Callithrix jacchus: one gene and its partners. The protein of the gene in region 3 interacts with the protein of the main gene of each other region in a pairwise test. Links are inferred from orthologs where the notes say so. Each region holds a gene or a part of one and is shown on either strand. Other genes may lie near its edges.

Region 1 (3,605 bases), on a different chromosome or scaffold from region 3:
AGACTGAAGCTCTGTCTCAAAAAAAAAAAATTAGTAGTAGTGGGGAAGGATCTGGATGTGGGTACACACCTGTGGTCCCAGCTACTCGGGAGGCTGAGGTGCCAGCATGGCTTGAGCCCAGTTGGAGGCTGTGGTTAGGTAGTACTGCGCCACTGTGTTCCAGCCTGGGCAACAGAGCAAGACCCTGTCTCAAAAACAGCTAAGGAGACTCTCAGTCCCGCGGTCCCAGGTCCACTGTGATGGCTTCCCCGACTGCTTCTCCACAGGTGATGCATTGCTGGATGCTGGTGAGTCTATGAAGCGCCTGGCAGAGGTGAAGGACTCCCTGGACATAGAGGTCAAGCAGAACTTCATCGACCCCCTCCAGAACCTGTGCGAGAAGGACCTGAAGGAGATCCAGGTGCTGCCCCTGCGTCAGCCCCAGGCCTGTCCCTTCGCCCTGCTGGGTGGGGCAGGCCCCGTTCCGCCACCCTTACGCCACTCCAGCTTCGGCACTGCCCTCTGGGTCTCGCTCAGGCAGGCGAGTGCCCGTGGTGCAGGGATGGTGGGTCACACCATGCATGGGGCAGACCTCCAGCTGTTGCCGATGTAACCTGTGTCCTCCACTGTCCCCAGCACCACCTGAAGAAGCTGGAGGGCCGCCGCCTGGACTTTGACTACAAGAAGAAACGGCAGGGCAAGATCCCTGATGAGGAGCTGCGCCAGGCACTGGAGAAGTTTGAGGAGTCCAAGGAGGTGGCGGAAACCAGCATGCACAACCTCCTGGGGACGGATGTGAGTTTCCGGGGCGCCGTGTCCTTGGGAGGCCAGCTTGGGGGCCTCAAGGGAGTTGAAGGATGGAGGTGGCAGCAACCTGGCCGCAGCAGCAGGGGCAGTTGAGGGTGCAGGGTGCAGGCCCCAGGCCCCTCTGCCTCCTATGAATCTACCTTGCAATCAGGGCGGGTACAGGACAATTGTGCTGGCAGGAGCCCCTGAGCCCTGCTGTCCCCGCAGATCGAGCAGGTGAGTCAGCTCTCGGCTCTGGTGGACGCGCAGCTGGACTACCACCGGCAAGCCGTGCAGATCCTGGATGAGCTGGCGGAGAAGCTCAAGCGCAGGTGAGCCGGGGCCCTGTGCTGCCACGCGCCCTCTGCCGGTGGGTGTGGGCAGCACACCTTGCTCCCGTGAGTGCCTGGCAGAACAGTGCCCGGGTCAAGTCCAAGTGCAGGGAGGGGCTGGTCCCCAGAGGACTGAGGGCTTTGAGGTCAGAGGAGCCAGGGGACTGAGAACTCTGAAACACCAAGCCCTACCCCCGACGCAGGCCCTTGGACTCCTGATCACGTGCCTGTCCCCTCCCTGGCTGTACTTTCTGCTGCCTCAAGGACACCCAGGCTCCCGTCTCTCAACCTGCTTCAGGGCCTTGGCATGTGTCAGGCACCAGCTGTGGTGGGAAAGCAGGGAGGAGGCAGGAGGGATGTGACTGGGGGCCCTGCAGGTAGAGACTGTAGCAGGACGCAGCTGCTCGCCAGCCTCTGAGGCGCCCCCAAAGTGGGGGTCCAGGCTGGAGGCCCTCTGGGTAGACATCCCAGTTGAGTCACGTTCCAGAGTCTGGGTGTCACCACCCCACTGCCGCCCTCTCCCGAGCTAGGTCATTAGGCAGTGGTGTAAACACAAGGGTGGGGCTGCCTCTCCCTTCACAGGATGCGGGAAGCTTCCTCTCGCCCCAAGCGGGAGTATAAGCCCAAGCCCCGGGAGCCCTTTGACCTCGGAGAGCCTGAGCAGTCCAACGGGGGCCTCCCCTGCACCTCAGCCCCCAAGATCACAGGTAATGGGGCGTGGAGCCATCTTCTGGAGGTGGATGCCAGCGGGTAGGGTGGCTGAGGGCTGGGCCTGTCTTGGGTCTCTGCACCAGGCCCCTGGGTACAGCTCTCAGCTCTGCTCCATCTGGACCACCAAGGCGGACGGCAAGGGCTGGCCCTGGCTTACTGCAGAGGAGGCCCTGCCCCACCATATTGAGCCACAGCCTCTGCGTTTTGCTTATGTTTAGCTTCGTCGTCTTTCCGATCTTCCGACAAGCCCATCCGGACCCCTAGCAGGAGCATGCGTGAGTGTCCCAGGCCCGCCACAGCCTCAGTGCTGCCTTCCACCTTCCACCCTGGTCCTCTGCCCAACCCAAGGAAGGAGACAGGCTCGGGCACAGGCCCACACCTTGCAACACGCCACCTCACTGTGTGAATGAGGAACTGCCATGTCCCTGCTGCTGTGACTGCCAAGGGCATCAGCCCAGCTCTAGGCTGTGTGGTGGCTTTAAGGGTTGAGGGTGTCTGGTCATTCCTTGTCACCCCAGCAGCACTGGGTGTCCCTAGTACCTCATAGGAGCAGCTGTGGTGACCACTTACCAAGACTCTCCCGTCCTCCCTCCTGGGTGGCAGTAGAGGCTGGACCCCAGAAGTGGCAGCGGGTGGCCTCCACCCACCCACAGGCTCCAGGCCACAGCAGGTCTGAGTTGAGACCCTAGGCTGGGTGGGGTGGGGTGGGTTATAGGAGCCCCAGCCTAGGCGCTAGCCCCACAGCCTGCTCCCGCCCCCAGCACCCCTGGACCAGCCGAGCTGCAAGGCGCTGTATGACTTTGAGCCTGAGAATGACGGGGAGCTGGGCTTCCGAGAGGGCGACGTCATCACGCTGACCAACCAGATCGATGAGAACTGGTACGAGGGCATGCTGGACGGCCAGTCGGGCTTCTTCCCGCTCAGCTACGTGGCGGTGCTCGTGCCTCTGCCACAGTGACTGGCCGGTGCCCACACCCTGCCCCTCCGTCCACACTGGCCGCCACCCCCTGCTGGGTCTCCTGCATTCTACGGGGTCCCTCCTGCCAGGGCGGTGTCCCAGCCTGTCGGCGCCCTTGAGGTACTCCCTGAGCAGGGCTCCACACTTGGGTTGGGGGGCTTATCTGCATGGCTGGGGATGCCTGTTTACACTAGTGCTGACCCTCAGTGGTGATGGCTCCCTTCCCAACTCCATGGCGCTGGCCGAGGTGGGGCAACACTACGGTGCTCTCAGAAACACTAAAGTTCCTCTGGGCGGTCCCCCTCTCCGTCCTGATCTCACGGGGGCCCGGCCCACTGCCTGCCCTCGAGTGCTGCGGCCTTAACAGGATGGGATTGAGTGTCCCTACGGGGTGGCTCAGACAGGACCCTGGTTTTTGAGACAGAGTTTCGCTCTTGTTGCCCTGGCTGGAGTGCAGTGGTGTGATCTTGGCTCACCACAACTTCCACCTCCCGGATTCAAGCGATTCTCCTGCCTCAGACTCCCCAGTAGCTAGGATTACAGGCACGCACCACCATGCCCGGCTAATTTTATATTTTTAGTAGAGACAGGGTTTGTCCATGTTAGGCTGGTCTCGAACTTCTGACCTCATGATCTGCTTGCCTTGGCCTCCCAAAGTGAGCCACTGCACCTGGCCTAAATCCTGCTTTTAAATCCCCTCCCAGCCTGGTGCTGGCGATGGGCCCTGGTCCCACTCCAGGGCCACTGTACCCCTGCCTCACGCACACACACTCCTTGTGATGAGGGCCAAGCACAAGGTCAGGGCAGAGGCCCTCATCACTTCCCAGGCCTGATGGCAG
Region 2 (4,049 bases), on a different chromosome or scaffold from region 3:
GAATGTCCCATAATTCATTCAATCATCACCCTGAGTTTCCCAACTCATTAATATTTAGGATAGGTCTTTGTGCATATACTACTTTATGTCCTTTAAGTTTCAGTGACAGATTTTTAGAAGTGAGGTTTCTAGGTCAAGTGAAACATCTCCAATGTTTAAAATTTTATATTTAAACAAAATTCATTTTAGGCCTTGAGAATTTCTGTTTTCTTTTTCATTATGCAAAATTTTTTTATCAACCTTTCATAATACTTTACATATTTTATTCTTAAAAGCACATACATTATGTCAGAAAATACCCCTGTCACTTATGCTTACGTAGTTATAAATAAATAAATGCTTAAGTTATGACTGTGATATCCAGCGTTAAATCACTGTGCAAATGCTTATGCCTTGGTTTATCAAAGTCATAATTCATTGTGGAAATCCCACCCCCACAGCCATGTGGCAGCACTAGAGTTGCAGTCCTCACATCCTGTGACTCCCTCTCACAGAGTAACTATATAGACGTCAGGACCTCCACTTTTTCTAATTTCAACAGTTAACCTTAAAAAGCTTGTGATGGGAGAGACAAATAGCAAGAAACAACAAATTCATGGCCATTTTGGGTTTCTAATATCGACAAATTATTTGTAACACAATGAATAATGCTCCTGTACTACATCAGAGCCTATGTTCCATAAGAAATAAAAACCTATAACCAACATGTTGCTATTATTATTATAGGAACCTTTCAAAAACATAGTCTTGAAACATTTTTCAGTAGAATCACTGGATGAATCACACTTCACACTTCTTTTCTCTATTTCAGATTCAAGTTCTAATTGCAAACTTAAAACAAAAAAAGCCTAAAAGAAATACTTTAACCAACGAAGCTCCTTATAATTTAGTTTCAGACTCCTTCATATATTTTAAAGACCTGAGCACCAACAGAGATTGTTAAGACACAGCAAGTTTGATACAGAAGTATGTGACATGCAATTAATCTCCATTCATACCCTGCTCTACTTGTCAGCAAACAAAGGTTCTGCTTTAGAAGGAGATCTGAAGACTTCAATTAAAAACAGTCAGCTAACAAGAAAATAATCTAAGCTAAAGGAAGGTGGCAGGTGCAGAAATGAGTTGTTTACCAAAGTGTCAGTTCTGAACAATAAAGAACTGCACATCAAAAATGCTGAAGGAGTGAATTTCATTGCAAGCCTCTGAAAATAAAAAGGAATTTTCTACCAAAGCTAGACAAAAAACTGAATTAGAGTTTAACAAGCTTATAAAATAGGTTTCCTCTCATCAAATGACAGATACCAATAAAAATAATCACTTTATATCTTTCAATGCAAGGACAGAGTTAAATTTTTGCCACAGTTCCTTCTCTTAGAAACCAAAGACAATTACAGCTTTCCTTCACAAGACTAATATTAAACCAACAGCAGAGGGAAAGCCTGGAATGCTTCTTCTTAGACACCCAGATAATGCTCTTTTACCCTGCAAATACTTTTCTACCCGCAAAGTTTAGATTTATTCTCATCACCAGTAAAATGGATTTTGGAAACCTCTCCTCAAAATAAAGATCTAGTTGACAGCTTTTACATAGAGGCAATCCAGAATGGAAATAGTGCTACAAACAGAGACCAAAAGGACTTGCCAAATATTTGATTAGGAGGCATTTATACCGAGATAACAAGGTAATGGAGATATAAAACCAATTAAATTGAGAGAAACTGAAAAAAAAAAAAAACTGCTTGCCAAAAATATGACCTGCCCAGAGCAGGCCATCTGTTAAATATGTGTCAAATACGTCAACTTAGATGCCAAAAGGCTTAATTCTGAATAGTTTCCTCCTGGGACCTTATGCAACTGCAGATTCCAGGCCTCTGTCCTCCCTGGAAGGTTAGTCACAGGAATGCAAGTAAAAGTGACTTTCACCATGAAACCCAGCAGATGAAACTGCCCGTTAGCGACGTCTCTTTGCCGTATCTCTTTGGAGTGTTGGCAGAGTGTGTTGAGTGTTGGTGAGGATGGCCGCAACTCTTTAAACCGCTGCTTAGACCCTGTAGTTGGAAGGTGGACACACCACAATGGGAGCACTTCTAGAAAAGGAGTTAAGGCCATACTGGGAACGAGCCTGCCTTGGGGTGGGTGAGACCCCTAAACGTCTACAGGGTGATAAAGGGAGGGCCGGGGTTTTCGCTCTGACAAAATTCTGGTCAGCCACCGGGCCTTGGCCCATGGGGATCCCACCAGCCCCTCGGAGCCCCCCGGAGAACCGCAGGGGCCTCTAAGCAGGAAGGTTTGGGGTCTTCTGTGAGACGTGAGGAAGTCGGGGCTGGGGAACGAGGGGGACGGGAAACCCAGAGATGTAGGGGAGTACCTCGGAGGAAGGGACAGGGGGAGGACCAGGCCAGGTGGCATGGGGACCAAGAATCCGGCCTGAAGGAGTGTAGAAGCCTGGGAGGTGAAATGGAGGCGCCGCGGTGCCTCGAGGAAGATGTGGGACTCTAAGGAGTGAAAGGGGTCCTGAGGTGAGAGGATGGAAAGCTGGCTCTGGGGAGTTGAGGGCTCTAGAAACCTTGAGGTTCTAGAAGGAGGTGAGTGATGGAGCTGAAAAGAAAGCCCGGCCGTGGGAGGCCTGGTGTCTCCTCTCCTGCCTTCGGCTCAGCACAGGAGGGGGCCTGCGCCAGGGCGTTACCTTCCAGGAGCCAACGGATCTCCTCAGGGAGGGCGGCGGCCTGCATTTGGCTGGGCCAGAGGGAGGCGACGTGCGAGGCGGGACGGGGCGCGGGCCCTGGTCGGGAGGTGGATGGGCTGGAGGGCCACCCGGTTGCGCCGCGAGGCACCTGTACCTCAGCCGCGCTCGCTGCCAGCCCAGCCCGGCCGCGGGGCGGGGCCGTGGGTCCCGGGGCGCGTCAGGAAGTGGCGCGGGCGGCGGGCGGCGGGCGGCGGGCGGCGGGCGGCGGGCGGGGGCCCGGGACGGGGCGGCGTGGGTGCACGTGGCGCTCACGCCGGGGCCCAGCGGTAGAAGGATGGGGATGCCGGAAGCGCCGCACCCTGAGAGGCCGAAGGTGCGCCCCTCCAGCACCCACCAAAACAGAAGACTTCACAAGGCTCAAAGGAACCACGGCTTTGGAGACTCCATCCTAAAGCACCGAACAGTTGGCCTCGCGGTGGCAGACGTGAAGGACCACGGGGTGCCTGAGGGGTACCCGGAGGCAGAATCCAAGGAAGAGATGAATCCCCGGGACCCTCAATTGGCGTCCAGTTCGCACCTCCATCCCCAGAAAGGAGGGCAGATCATCACTCTTAGGGAAGCCACAATGTTGGAAGTCCCAATGAACAATATAAGGCCACCAACATTTGGGAGAATCGCCGCCGCAGCACGGCAGCAAGGGACGCAGGAAGCCAAACTGTGCCTTTCTCCTGTAGGCTGGAAAGGCCCTGAGGAAAGGAAGCGGTAACTCAGGGAGAAAGCCGAGGGTGAGGAGAACAAAAACCCTTTCCCTCCAAGAGCTGAGGAAGGGAGGAAAGTGAAGGACAAAATCACAGGGCCTCATTCAAGGTGCAGTGGGTGTCAGAGTCCCGGTTGTGACATGGTACTGTAATACTGCCAGATGTTACCCTTGGAGGAAACTGGCTAAAGGTACACAGAGCTTCTCTATTATTTCTTAAACTCTCTGTGAATCTACAATTCTCTCAAAATAAAGAGGTTTTTTAAAAATAAATAGGTCAACTGCCATGAAAAAAGTACAAAGTGCTATGGTTGATAAAATAAGGGAGTTGAATACAAGAAAAGGAGGGAAGAGGCCAGGCATTGTGGCTCACACCTGTAATCACAGCACTTTGCGAGGCTGAGGCAGGAGGATCGCTTGAGCCCAGGAGTCTGAGGTTACAGCAAACTGTGGTCACCCCAATGTACTCCAGCCTGGGCAACAGAGCAAGACCCTGTCTCTTAAAAAAGAAGAAAAAAAAAGGAAATGCCAGTGTGCATGTGAGTGTTTAAAGGTCCATGTGGTGTTTGAGATGGGCTCTGAATAACACACCAGACTTTGAAGGGG
Region 3 (4,153 bases):
ATTGCTTGAACCCAGGAGGCAGAAGTTGCAGTGAGCCGACATTGCACCATTGCACTCCAGCCTGGGCAAAAAGAGTGAAAATTTGTCTTAAAAAAAAAGCAAATCTGACCAGGTCATTCTCTATCTTGACGTGTTTCTGCGTTTTCCTCCTTTCAGTCTACAAGACTCTGGGAGATCTGGCCTTTCCAGCCCTATCTCTTGCCCCTCTCTCAAACTGCAACAGTACAACCACGCATAGGTGCCGGAAATTCTGCGAGCACCAGGCTCTCCAGCCACCAGGAGAGTCTGGACTCTGGTGACTCAGGGCACGCATCCTGTGGATGGCTCGGGTCCCTTTGTTTGAGAAGTCTTCTGAGTCTGCGTCCCAACCCGTGTCAGGTGCCTCCTCTGAGCTCCCCTGGTTCCCTGTATGTACCCTGTTACAACTGTTACCTATAGATTTGTCGCTGCCTGTGTCCCTGTCTGCCCACCTGGTCTTGAGCTTGGGGCATTTGGAAAGGGCAAACCCACCAGGTTCCTCACTAAGTCCCAGCCTGGCTCAGCGGAGACTGCCCCTAAACATATGGGGACTGGATGAATGAACCACAAAATGCCGAGGGGCCTGGGAGGTACGAGGCTTTGGAGGTGGGCTCTGCCCTCAGAACAGCTAACGTAGTCAGTGAGATCAGCCACGCCGGGCAAGGAATTAAAGGACAACAGAAGGCTTAGATAACAGCTTGGAACGTTACAAACTGGGTCACAAGGCTGCGTGATAGACTGCGCCAGAGCCACCTCCTCGGCGAAGCCTTCCAGACGTTTCTCTGCTCAGTGCTGAGGGGCACTAGAGATTTCGGGAGAGCTAGCGGACCCGCCAGGGGCTCTCTCTGTGTTCCAGCTTTCTGAGAAAGGAGACTCGCTACCTTCCGGGCCAGCTTTAGGGTTCTACGAGCTCAAGTCTGGCGGGACCCTGGAAGCCCGTTGCAGCCACAAATTGTTTCCACTCGTCATTGTTTCTTCTTTTCTTCTGCTCGCGCTCTCCCGGCCCCGCCAACCCCGCGACCTCCCACTGCCTTACGAGGGGCCCTCTCCCTTCCCTCAGCTCCGCCCTGCCCGAGGAGGCGGGCCCGGCCGCGCGGCGCACCAATCCGAGAGCCCCGAGCCGCTCTGCCTCCCGCGAGTCCCGCCCCACGCCACCACCCGCCAATCGTGCCGCGCGCCCGCTTCACCGGGCAGCCCAATCGCGGGCGGGTTGAGCTGCCGGCGCCCCGCCTCTGCCGCGCTTGGCGGCGGCTCGGCTGGCGGTCGCTCCGGGCCCAGGCATTCTCCGGGCTCTGGCTGCAGCGTTGGGGGCGCAGGGGGCGGCGCTGCTGCTCGCGGTGTGCTGGGCGAGGCGGACGCCAACGGCCGGGCCGAAGGGCACCTCAGCTTCGCCGGGGCCCGCAGCGCGGGTCCTAGGACGAAGGAGGAGGCGGCGCCCCCTCTGCCCGGGGCCGGCCCGGTGCCTGCCCGTAGGAGACCCGCGTCCGGACGTTCCCGGCCCGCAGCGACCCCGACGCGCCTCCCGGAGAGGCCCAAAGCTCCCGGCCACCCCCTGGGGGTGTCCCGCTTTCCCGGGCCTCACCTGCCCTGGCCTCCCCGCACCCAGGTGCGGGGGCGTGAGCAGCGAGGGCGCCTCCCCCGGCCGCCAGCGGAGCGGGGGCGGGGCCTCCCTCCGCCCTCTGCCTTACCGGCCAGCCCGGCAGCCTCTCTCAGTCTCACCAGTCCGCCCGTCGCGCCCGGCCGCGCGGCGTGAGCTCCCCGGGGATCGCGGCTCGGGATGCTGCCCGCCAGCGCGGCCGCTCGCCCGCAGTCCGGCACCCCCGCCTCTGCCTCTGCCTCCTGGGCCATGCCCCGCTGTTTACATGCCGGTGAGGTACCCGGCCGCTCCGAACCCCTCCGAGCCCCGACTCCCCGAGGGTGAAGCCCGCCGGCCCGCTAACTGGACTGGTCGGTCGCTCAGACCTGGGGCCCGGGACTCCGATCTCCGCCGCCTCCGCCACCATCTGGGCGGGATCCGGCTCTGGTGTTTTGAGGAGGGGGTGTGGTGTACGGAAAGAAATCCCGTCCCTCCCCACCTTTTTTGGCCCTCGGGGCTTCAGACTCAGGGAACTCGCTCATGGCTTTCTTGATGAAGAAGAAGAAATTCAAATTCCAAACCACTTTCACCCTGGAGGAGCTGACTGCGGTCCCCTTCGTGAACGGGGTCCTCTTCTGCAAGGTCCGGCTGCTGGATGGAGGGGATTTTGTCAGCTTGTCGTCAAGGTAAGAGCTGGGGCCGTCGCGCCTGCAAGGGGGGCGGGGGCGGGGGTGATGAGCGAAATCTAGCCACTTGGCAAGTGTAGAAGGGCCCTTTGGGGCCGGGGTGGGGAGGGTCCGGGGGATTATGTGTGCCTGGGGCAGGTTGCACAAGGCAGAACTGGGCCTGAGGAAGTTGGCAGGGTGCCAGGCAGCCGCCAGCCAGATACCTGGGGGTCTAATCTTTCAGCTCCCTCTTGGGGCCCTGCCTGCTGCTTGCGATAGGCCCATTCTGCAGATTTGCAGGTACAGCCTGTCAGGGATTTGCACCCTAAGAGGGTGTGCAGGGGAGGGGTGTTCCAGGCCACCTTGTACCGGAACTGGCCTGTCATATGATTTAGAGTCCAGGCCAGCCACGGGTTCCTCGGCACCCCCAGGTGCCTGGGTAGGCCTGATGGCTGGCATTCCCTGGTCTGGCTGGAGGGAGGTGGCTGGATTTTGGCCTACCCAGCACCCTCCGAGTGACTGTCCTCCTCTGGCTGGCGCTGGGCTGCTTTGCATTGCAAATGACCTTGTCTAGGAGGCTGCTGCCTTCTCTGAAAGAGGCTCCGTTTAGTTTGGTTTTGTGTTGTTCGTCCCCATCCTGGCAGGTCCAGCTGCCCAGCTTATTGCTGAATGCAACTGAGTTCCTAGGCTGTCCTTTGCTGACCGGGCCCACCTGGGGTCACATCGTCCTGGCCTGTGTCAGAAGAGCCTTGGAGCCCTACAGATGGGGGTGTGACTTTTGACTCTGTTACTTTCTGGACCTTCTCTTCTGGAAAGTGGGCCTAATACAGGTGGAGAAGCTGCAGCAGCTAGAACTCGGGGCAGGCCGGACGCCATGGCTTATGCCTATAATCCCAGCACTTTGGGAGGCCGACATGGAAGACTCACTTGAGGCCAGGAGTTCAAGACCAGCCTGGACAACATAGGGAGATTCTCATCTCTCTTTTTTTTTTTTCTTTTTTGGGAGGACACAGTTTTACTCTGTTGCCCAGGTTGTACTGCAGTGGAGCCATCTTGGCTCACTGCAACCTCCACCTCCCGGGTTCAAGCAATTCTCATGTCTCAGCCTTTGGAGTAGCTGGGACTACAGACAGCCACTACCATGCCCAGCTAATTTTTGTGTTTTTATTTTAATTTAATTTAATTTTTTTTTTTTTTTTGAGATGGAGTCTCACACTGTTGTCTGGGCTGGAGTACAGTGACACGATCTTAGCTCACTGCAACCTCCACTTCCTGGGTTCAAGCGATCCTCCTGCCTCAGCCTCCCGAGTAACAGAGATTACAGTTGCGTGCCACCACAACTGGCTAATTTGTTTGTGTTTTTAATAGAGATGGTGTTTCACCATGTTGGCCAAGCTGGCCTTGAACTCCTGACCTCAAATGATCCACCCACCTCAGCCTTCCAAATGCTAGGTTGACAAGTGTGAGCCACTGTGCCCAACCTCTGTCTCTATTTTTAAAAAATTAAAATGAAATAAAATACAATACAGGCAGGACCTGGCCCAGTGCCTGGGAAGTGCTGCTTCCCTACCTGGTCTGCTCTTTGCTCCTTGGGCCTCCTTGTGGGCCCTGTTAGCCAGAGCTGCCTCACTGTTCTGAGAGCCCATTGGGTGTGTTATAGGTGGAGAAACTGAGGCCCAGAAAGAGGAAGTCAGTGGCTTGCCAGGGACCTTGAAGGAGTCTGTTGTTTACTGAACTTGGCCAGTTTGGGGACCTCTTGGATGAATCCAGAGGTCAAATGCTTTGCTGGGAGGAAGGGAAGGGAGGGGAACTGCACAGCCTAAGTCAGGTTTAGGAATCTGTTGTGGACCGGGTGGGGTGCCTTTTCTGAACATTGGCTCCCTGTTCTGCTGGG

What was found.
Region 1: the proteins of EEIG1 (region 3) and SH3GL1 interact in binary tests that used the Homo sapiens proteins (3 or more experiments, as listed by UniProt). The two-hybrid records come from large-scale screens. The link is inferred for Callithrix jacchus from reciprocal best matches to the Homo sapiens genes EEIG1 and SH3GL1.
Region 2: the proteins of EEIG1 (region 3) and SKAP1 interact in binary tests that used the Homo sapiens proteins (3 or more experiments, as listed by UniProt). The two-hybrid records come from large-scale screens. The link is inferred for Callithrix jacchus from reciprocal best matches to the Homo sapiens genes EEIG1 and SKAP1.

The regions. Positions count from the first base shown.
Region 1 is NC_133523.1:4,108,076-4,111,680, reverse strand, and holds part of SH3GL1 (endophilin-A2), read left to right. Parts: exon of another isoform or gene 1-266; coding exon 267-400; exon of another isoform or gene 401-615; coding exon 616-774; exon of another isoform or gene 775-993; coding exon 994-1,097; coding exon of another isoform or gene 1,098-1,171; intron 1,172-1,679; coding exon 1,680-1,804; intron 1,805-2,026; coding exon 2,027-2,083; intron 2,084-2,569; coding exon 2,570-2,766; 3' UTR 2,767-3,605. UniProt on the Homo sapiens protein: Implicated in endocytosis. May recruit other proteins to membranes with high curvature.
Region 2 is NC_133506.1:117,853,306-117,857,354, reverse strand, and holds the start of SKAP1 (src kinase-associated phosphoprotein 1), read right to left. Parts: upstream 2,839-4,049; 5' UTR 2,733-2,838; coding exon 2,687-2,732; intron 1-2,686. UniProt on the Homo sapiens protein: Positively regulates T-cell receptor signaling by enhancing the MAP kinase pathway. Required for optimal conjugation between T-cells and antigen-presenting cells by promoting the clustering of integrin ITGAL on the surface of T-cells.
Region 3 is NC_133502.1:176,605,182-176,609,334, reverse strand, and holds the start of EEIG1 (early estrogen-induced gene 1 protein), read left to right. Parts: upstream 1-1,298; 5' UTR 1,299-2,134; coding exon 2,135-2,280; intron 2,281-4,153. UniProt on the Homo sapiens protein: Key component of TNFSF11/RANKL- and TNF-induced osteoclastogenesis pathways, thereby mediates bone resorption in pathological bone loss conditions.